Linked DNA regions of Canis lupus familiaris. The protein of the gene in region 1 purifies or fractionates together with the protein of each later gene. This does not show direct contact. Links are inferred from orthologs where the notes say so. Each region holds a gene or a part of one and is shown in the gene's direction. Other genes may lie near its edges.

Evidence for each region.
Region 2: the proteins of TCP1 (region 1) and WDR5 purify together in Homo sapiens (affinity purification with mass spectrometry; 3 studies listed by BioGRID and IntAct, with this or other methods). This does not show direct contact. The link is inferred for Canis lupus familiaris from reciprocal best matches to the Homo sapiens genes TCP1 and WDR5.

What each region holds. Positions count from the first base shown.
Region 1 is NC_049222.1:49,585,089-49,588,529, reverse strand, and holds part of TCP1 (T-complex protein 1 subunit alpha), read left to right. Parts: intron 1-89; coding exon 90-187; intron 188-339; exon of another isoform or gene 340-479; intron 480-563; coding exon 564-674; intron 675-951; coding exon 952-1,133; intron 1,134-1,526; coding exon 1,527-1,653; intron 1,654-3,441. UniProt on the Homo sapiens protein: Component of the chaperonin-containing T-complex (TRiC), a molecular chaperone complex that assists the folding of actin, tubulin and other proteins upon ATP hydrolysis.
Region 2 is NC_049230.1:50,410,278-50,414,090, forward strand, and holds part of WDR5 (WD repeat-containing protein 5), read left to right. Parts: 5' UTR 1-63; coding exon 64-144; intron 145-793; coding exon 794-902; intron 903-1,196; coding exon 1,197-1,270; intron 1,271-1,660; coding exon 1,661-1,750; intron 1,751-1,946; coding exon 1,947-2,036; intron 2,037-2,232; coding exon 2,233-2,316; intron 2,317-3,813.

The sequences.
Region 1 (3,441 bases):
GATTAATTGTAGGTAGTCATTTTAGTGCTGTTTTTACATATGTGTTGCACATATTGTCAGACTAAAAGCAGTGAATATTTTCTCAACAGGTTATTATTGCAGCAGAACTTCTTAAAAATGCAGATGAACTAGTCAAACAGAAAATTCATCCCACATCAGTTATTAGTGGCTATCGACTTGCTTGCAAGTAAGATTGTTTGCATTCAGAGGAAATTTTACATTATGTGATGTTATAGTTGTAAATAGTCTGTGTTCTTTAAATGTTAATGACTAAATTTTATTTTGAAAAAGTGCTATTTTAGTAATAATATCTGGAGTAAGAATAAGGCTAGCATCTTTTTTCCCATTTGACTACCACATTTTCTCCCAATAATAGATTTTGGTGGCTATGCTTATGGGATAGATTAAAATTGCCATGATCTGAAGAGGGAGGATTTATTTGTGTCCTCCTCCTATATGAAATGGCCAAACAGAAAATTGGTGCCTAAGATATTTTGACACTTTGGTAAAACAAAGTTTGAGTAGTGCATTTACAAATGTTTTCTCCCACACACTTCAAACAGGGAGGCAGTGCGATACATCAGTGAAAATCTGATTATTAACACAGATGAACTTGGAAGAGATTGCCTAATCAATGCTGCTAAGACGTCGATGTCTTCCAAAATCATTGGAATGTATCCTTGTGATAAAATCTTGGTTAGTTTTTATGCCGTGTGATACTGTATTAAAATTGCTCCCTTCCTTGATTTTCTAGGGGGAGAGATGATAATAAAGTGTGTAATAGTACTATGAATTTCAAGTAGTGATAACTCCTGCGTTTTGATGGAGTTTTATTATTAATGCTTGTTTCTTTGATGAATTGCTAAAAGGAAGTGCCTTGGATTACTCTTGATTTTTGTGTGCACCTGTTCATTCCATGTCTCTCCATGTTCCCCTTAACCCTTGTCTTAGAAATGGTGATTTCTTTGCCAATATGGTAGTAGATGCTGTACTTGCGGTTAAGTATACAGACGTAAGAGGCCAGCCTCGCTATCCAGTCAATTCTGTTAACATTCTGAAAGCCCATGGGAGAAGTCAGACAGAGAGTTTGCTTATCAGTGGCTATGCACTCAACTGTGTGGTGGGATCCCAAGGTAAGGCTTAGGATTTAGTACTAAAAGTGAAAATTTGCTTTTTGTGGACTACTTACTTACTATACATCTTTCAGGTGGGCTATCCAAGACTTGCACCTACTTTTCTTCAGTAAAGCCCAGAGTAAAGGAAATCGTATATCCAGGTTTCCGGTTTCCCTTGTGTAACTTAGTACATAAAACTTAGGAGAAGTGCAATGCAAGTTAAAATTACCATTACGTGTGGTAATGGCCCTAAAAATTTGTTTGTAGAGTTAAATATAATAAAAATGTAAGTTTTTGTCTTTAAAGATAATTTAATATCTTTTGCTACTTTTGTGCTTAAGAATAGGTGTATTTTATAAGATGTGACATTGTTACAGTTCTTATAAAGGTATTCAATGTGTTCAATTATAGGCATGCCCAAGAGGATAGTTAATGCAAAAATTGCTTGCCTTGACTTCAGCCTGCAGAAAACAAAAATGAAGCTTGGTGTACAGGTGGTTATTACAGACCCTGAGAAACTCGACCAGATTAGGCAGAGGTATGTTTAGATATTATTTTTGACTTTTGGAAAAGGTGTTTATAAATTATGCTTGTTAAAGCAGGTAACAGTAAAGAAGTACACCCAAAAGGAGCGGGGCACTGGGGTGGCTCAGTGGGTTAAGCGTCTGACTTGTCTGACTTGGGCTGAGGTTCGTAATGGCATGGTCTTGGTTCTAAAAGGGAGTTCATGGACTCTGCTCAGCAGGAAGTCGGCCTGTGCCTCTGCCACCGCCCCCTCTCATGGTTGCGCGCTCTCAAAGAAATACGATAAAATCTTCTTTTAAAAAAGCACATTATACTTTCTAGAAAACAGCAAGTAAACCAGTTGCCAGGTAGCAGAGGATGATGATGATGCAACTGGATTTTTTTAAATGTGGATGTAAAAAACAGTAGTAACCAAACCTATAAGAAATCTTTGCCAGGAGTCAGGCATGCTTTTTCCTTTTGGATCTGCATGTGTGCTTTTTTCATTCCAATAAACAAAGTGTCCTTTCTTCCACCAAAGGTCAGGCTCTAGAGTATTATCAAACTGCATCTTCAATTACTAATTCTGTTTCTCATTCCTTTTCTAGATTCCACTTGCAGCCACTTTGTAGCTCTCATACCCAGAAATAAAAGCCTCCTGCTCCAGTTACTCCGTCTTTCCCCATCTCTTCACAGCTGGACGTCCTGGGTTTTTGTTTTATTTTGCTTTGTTTTTAATTTCACAAAATCAGTTTCCTGGTATTTTCCTTTCTCATTTCCTTTTCATCTCTGTTCTTCACTGGAGGGACCATTTGCAAAGGGCACTAGTGGTCCCTAGTGTAAAATTCACTAGACACTTAACAACCTTCGCTTGTCCTTTATCAAGCTGTTCGTTACTTCCTTCTTGAAACACTTGGAAGAGGCGGGGATGGGCTTTGTGATACAGCCCCATCTATATCTGTATGCCAGAGTAACTCCTCCTCACTCCTAGGACATCAGATAATATCTCAGTGCTGGACACTTCCAATTCTGTTTCTTTGCACTCCAGACACCTGTGAATACTCCTTATGCATCTCAAAATCAATATTTAAAACTGAACTTCAGGGCAGCCTGGGTGGCTCAGTGGTTTAGTGCCGCTTTCAGCCCAGGGTGTGATCCTGGAAACCCGGGATCAAGACCCACATCAGGCTCCCTGCATAGAGTCTGCTTCTCCCTCTGCCTGTGTCTCTGCCTCTCTTTCTCTGTCTCTCATGAGTAAATAAATAAAATCTTAAAAAAATAAAACTGAACTTCAGGTGGTACCCATAAATCGACTTGTGCTATTTTAGTGATGAGGATCTTCAGAGAAAACTAGGAAATATCTTTAATGCCTCTTTATAGTTATACCTTTCTCTTTTCTATTTATCTTCAAATTAAATCTCAGCTTCGTCTACTTTTCATTCTCTTGCCCAGACTGTTGTAGAGGAAGCCACGCTGGTCACCTGGGTTCACTCTTGTCCCCTCCCAGACTGTTTTCCCCACAGAAGCCACTTCATCCTCATAACTTCCAAGTCCAGAGCTTTATGTAGGTTTTTCATTGCTCTGCAGTAGGTGTTTTTAATTTCTTATATATCTTTTTTCACTGTGGTCCAGCAACACCCAGTACTAGGACTTACCAAACTCTTCCCCCGGTTGCTTCAGTAATGTTCTCTCTGCCTATGGCCTACTCTCTGCTTGTTTGGTCTGATTAATTTTTTACTTGTTTTTTTTAGCTAATCAATCTCTCAGGCTTATTTTTCTCCTTTAATCTAAATCCTACTTTACCATGAGTTCCTGTACTTGA
Region 2 (3,813 bases), on another chromosome or scaffold:
GTGAGTCTTCGCTTGGAGCTGTGAACTCTACCCGCGTCTGCCTGCCTGGTGGGCTTCAGAGCCATGGCAACGGAGGAGAAGAAGCCAGAGACGGAGGCCGCCAGAGCACAGCCCACCCCTTCCTCCTCGGCTACGCAGAGCAAGGCATGTCCCTGAGGGCTTGAGGGGAACTGCCAGGGGCGCCTAGGCCGAGTACTCTTCAGAGATGCTTCTTCCAAGTCTGTTCTCCCTCTTCAGTTAGACACTGTGTTTTTATTTATGGGCCACAGACCTAATCAGTGCTTGTTTACCGTGCTGAGGATCCCCAGACCTGTCCCCCGGAGAAGGGGCTTTATCACAACATAGATCCTTGTTCCTGATCGTAAGATCTCTGCAGCACCCAGAAAGCCTCTCATACAGCATCCCCCTGGTCCACAGTTCTGGTGGCCAGGCAGGTTTGCAAACCCCTTTGCTGGACACCAGGCGGCACATACAGGCCTTTGAGCAAGGCTACAGCCTTCAGGTTTGCTTTGAGGGAGGCTGTGCTTGCCGGACTTGGTGATGCGTGTCGGACGTTGGGGTGGGGTCAGGCCTTGAGGGGCCTCTGTGTTGAGCTGTCCTGGAAGAGCTGGGCACGAAGGTGGGGGCTGCAGGAGAAGCAGGGCTGCCGAGGGGAAATAGCCCAGATTTAAACACGACCAGTTGGAAAGGACTTCCAGAGAGTTCTAGCAGGATTTGGAACTTAGAAGGTGGTTCTGAGTTTGAAGCAAGGTGGTGGTTAATGGTTTGATGACTAGTATTCTCTCTTCAACAGCCTACCCCTGTTAAACCAAACTACGCTCTAAAATTCACCCTGGCTGGCCACACAAAAGCCGTGTCCTCCGTGAAATTCAGCCCGAATGGAGAGTGGCTGGCAAGTTCATGTACGTATCACCAGGGCCTCCGCTCCTGTCAAAGGTAGTCTGTGCTGCCACCAGAAGCCCGGAGCAGGGGGAGGGCTTGCTTTCTGATGCTGCCACTGGGGTGTCGCAGGGGCTGGAGCCCTTTACGTAACACTCTGAGATGATGTGCTCAGGGGAGAGGGGAAGGGTACTCCGGTGCCGGCTACTTCTTTCCATGGGATTTGCACTGTTTCCAGGGCTCCTGTTGTGGGCAGCCCGGATTTTGCCCTTGGGGTGACTGTACCATCACAGTTATTTTGTCTTTCTTTTTTTCAGCTGCTGATAAGCTCATTAAAATTTGGGGAGCATATGACGGAAAGTTTGAGAAAACCATATCTGGTCACAAGCTGGTAGGTTCATCCCTGCACGTGGAGGTTGCCCACTGGCCGCCTTAGCCCCACTGGTGGGTGGGGCCCATCCCCAGAGCTCAGCAGGTTAAGGTCTAAGCTTTCCCCCGGAGTTTTTTGGATAGTTCTTTGCTTTTTGTCTTTTTTTTTTTTTTTTCCTTTTGTCTTTTAAGCAAGTACTTCTGACCTTCCCAGACAAGTTTCTGCCTGACTGCAAGAGAACACACTCTCCTTTGGGGACTGTGCGGTGTTTCGTCTGTGTGGTCAGCAGTAGCTAGAGGGTTTGGGTAGTGGAGTGAGGTGCTTATTTATCTTTGGATGGATGTTCTGACCTTTGCTGGTTAACTGTATTTTGTCCTGTCAAGGCGGTGACCCTGTGTCTTTGCTCCCCAGGGGATATCAGATGTGGCCTGGTCATCAGATTCCAACCTCCTCGTTTCTGCTTCAGATGATAAAACCCTAAAGATCTGGGATGTGAGCTCGGTGAGCTGCTCTGCCCAACCCCCGCCCCGGCAGAGCTTGTGTGCGTGGACAAGGGGCAGGGCGGGAGTCCGAGGGGGGTCTGGGGACCCTGGGTCATGGGGTGGCCCTGCTCTGTGGGGTATGTGCCATTGGGCCGCTGTGGGCTCAGCTTTGAAATAACCACTAGGACTAACAGTCTGACGATACTTGGTTTTAGGGAAAGTGTCTGAAAACCCTGAAGGGGCACAGTAACTACGTCTTCTGCTGTAACTTCAATCCCCAATCCAACCTCATTGTCTCGGGCTCTGTAAGTCTAACCCCCCCTTCCCCTGGGGTGTTGTAGGGGTGTGGGGGTGTGGTACTTTGTAGCCAGAGACTTAGGAGTTGAGCCTGAGTCTTCTCTGCTGGGGGATGGGGGCCGTGGTGGCAGGCCTTGGGTTCCAGAAGACCTGTCCTCTCCCACCTCCCTGTGGAGTGGCCTTAACCTCTTCCTTTGTCTTCAGTTTGACGAAAGCGTGAGGATATGGGACGTGAAAACAGGGAAGTGCCTCAAGACTTTGCCTGCACACTCGGACCCGGTCTCAGCTGTAAGTCCCGCTGAGCTCTGGACACCACATGGCAAGACAGGGTGATGGCCAGAGAGGGGGCACTGGGGACCCCGAGAGAGTTCTCCCTATCCTGGGCCCGTGAAAGGAGAGGCAGGCGAGGGGTTTGGTCCCTGAACCAAATCCTGTGGGACAGGTAGGGCAGCCAGGCCTGGAAGAGGGGCTGTGTGTTGGGAAGTGTGGCCACAGAGAAGTGAATTTGGAGTGGAGTTGGCTTTGATCCTGGGGTGGTGGTGGAATGAGCTGGGGTGAGCTAGCCGAGGGTAAGGGCTGGGGTGGGGGGGGGGTTGGAGCCCCACGAGCACCCTGTGTGTGCTGTGTCCTGCCTTGTGCACACGCTAGCAGTGTGCAAGATGAGGTACGTAGTTGAAGTATCTGCTGTAATACAAACCCTCCATTTGAAAGTGGCCGAGAGATTTTTTTCTTTGTCAGCAGAGCCTAGACTTGTTTCTTAGCCAAGTTTGCCTTTTTTTGGAAAGGGGAAGGAATCGTGTAAACATTGTGCTTATTTTTACTGAGCAGATGGTCCTTTTCACTTTCTGAAATCGTGTAGGTGAGTGATTTTAAGTATTTTCAGGCAATAAAGGGCTTTTTTGCCCAGCTGAGACCATTCGCAGAGCCCAGATACATGGAGGACATGTATTACGTGTTGGTCGCAGTGGACTGAGGGGCCCTCGCTGCCCAGAGTCCCGGCCAGTGTGGATGGGGCTCATCCTTGGGGGCCCCGAGGAAGGCAGTGTGCTGTGGAGAGGGGGCCTGGCCCACCTGGCGCTCTGCCCTCTGCCGTGGACCCCCAGTCCCAGGAGAGCTGACTTTGAGATGGGCATGGTGGTGAATGTGGGCAGGACCCAGGATGCAAGCTGAGTGAAGGCCAGGAGTCCCAGCAGTGCGAGGTGGTGCGGGGGCTGTGGGTGGGACCCTCAGCCTAAGTGGTAGGGTTTATAGAGTCTTTGTTTTCTGTGGAAGTGAAACGTACTCATTTTTTAAAAAAGACAAACGGATGCAGTGAAGAGAAAGTCACTCTCCTGAGCCCTCCAGGACCCCTGCTGGTAGCCCCCCCCCCCCCCCCCCCCCCGCACGCCCTGGGTATTCTGATATTTTAAATATGTGCTATCTCCCACCATCTGTCCTGTAAGTGGTGGGGGTGACCACAGCTATTGTGCGTCCCTGTGGGAGGGTTTCTCGGGCATCTGTGGTGTCCATAGACCCCCATGGGCAGTGGGCACTCTGTGCTGGGGCCTTAGCAGGTGCTTGTTCGTAGCTTGCATTTCTCATGGAGGAGTGCGATGAGCATCTTCGTTGGGCCACTTTACCCACCATGTGTTTCTGCGGTGAGCTTTAGGAGGTCATCATCGTGTGAAAGAGGTTCACTTAGTTTCCCAAGTAGATCCATCTGGGAGCGAGAAGCCCCTGGCACCAACTCTGCTGGCTGCCCCGTCCCTTGCTTCCTCCTTCCTGAGTCTGGCCTCATCCTCTCTC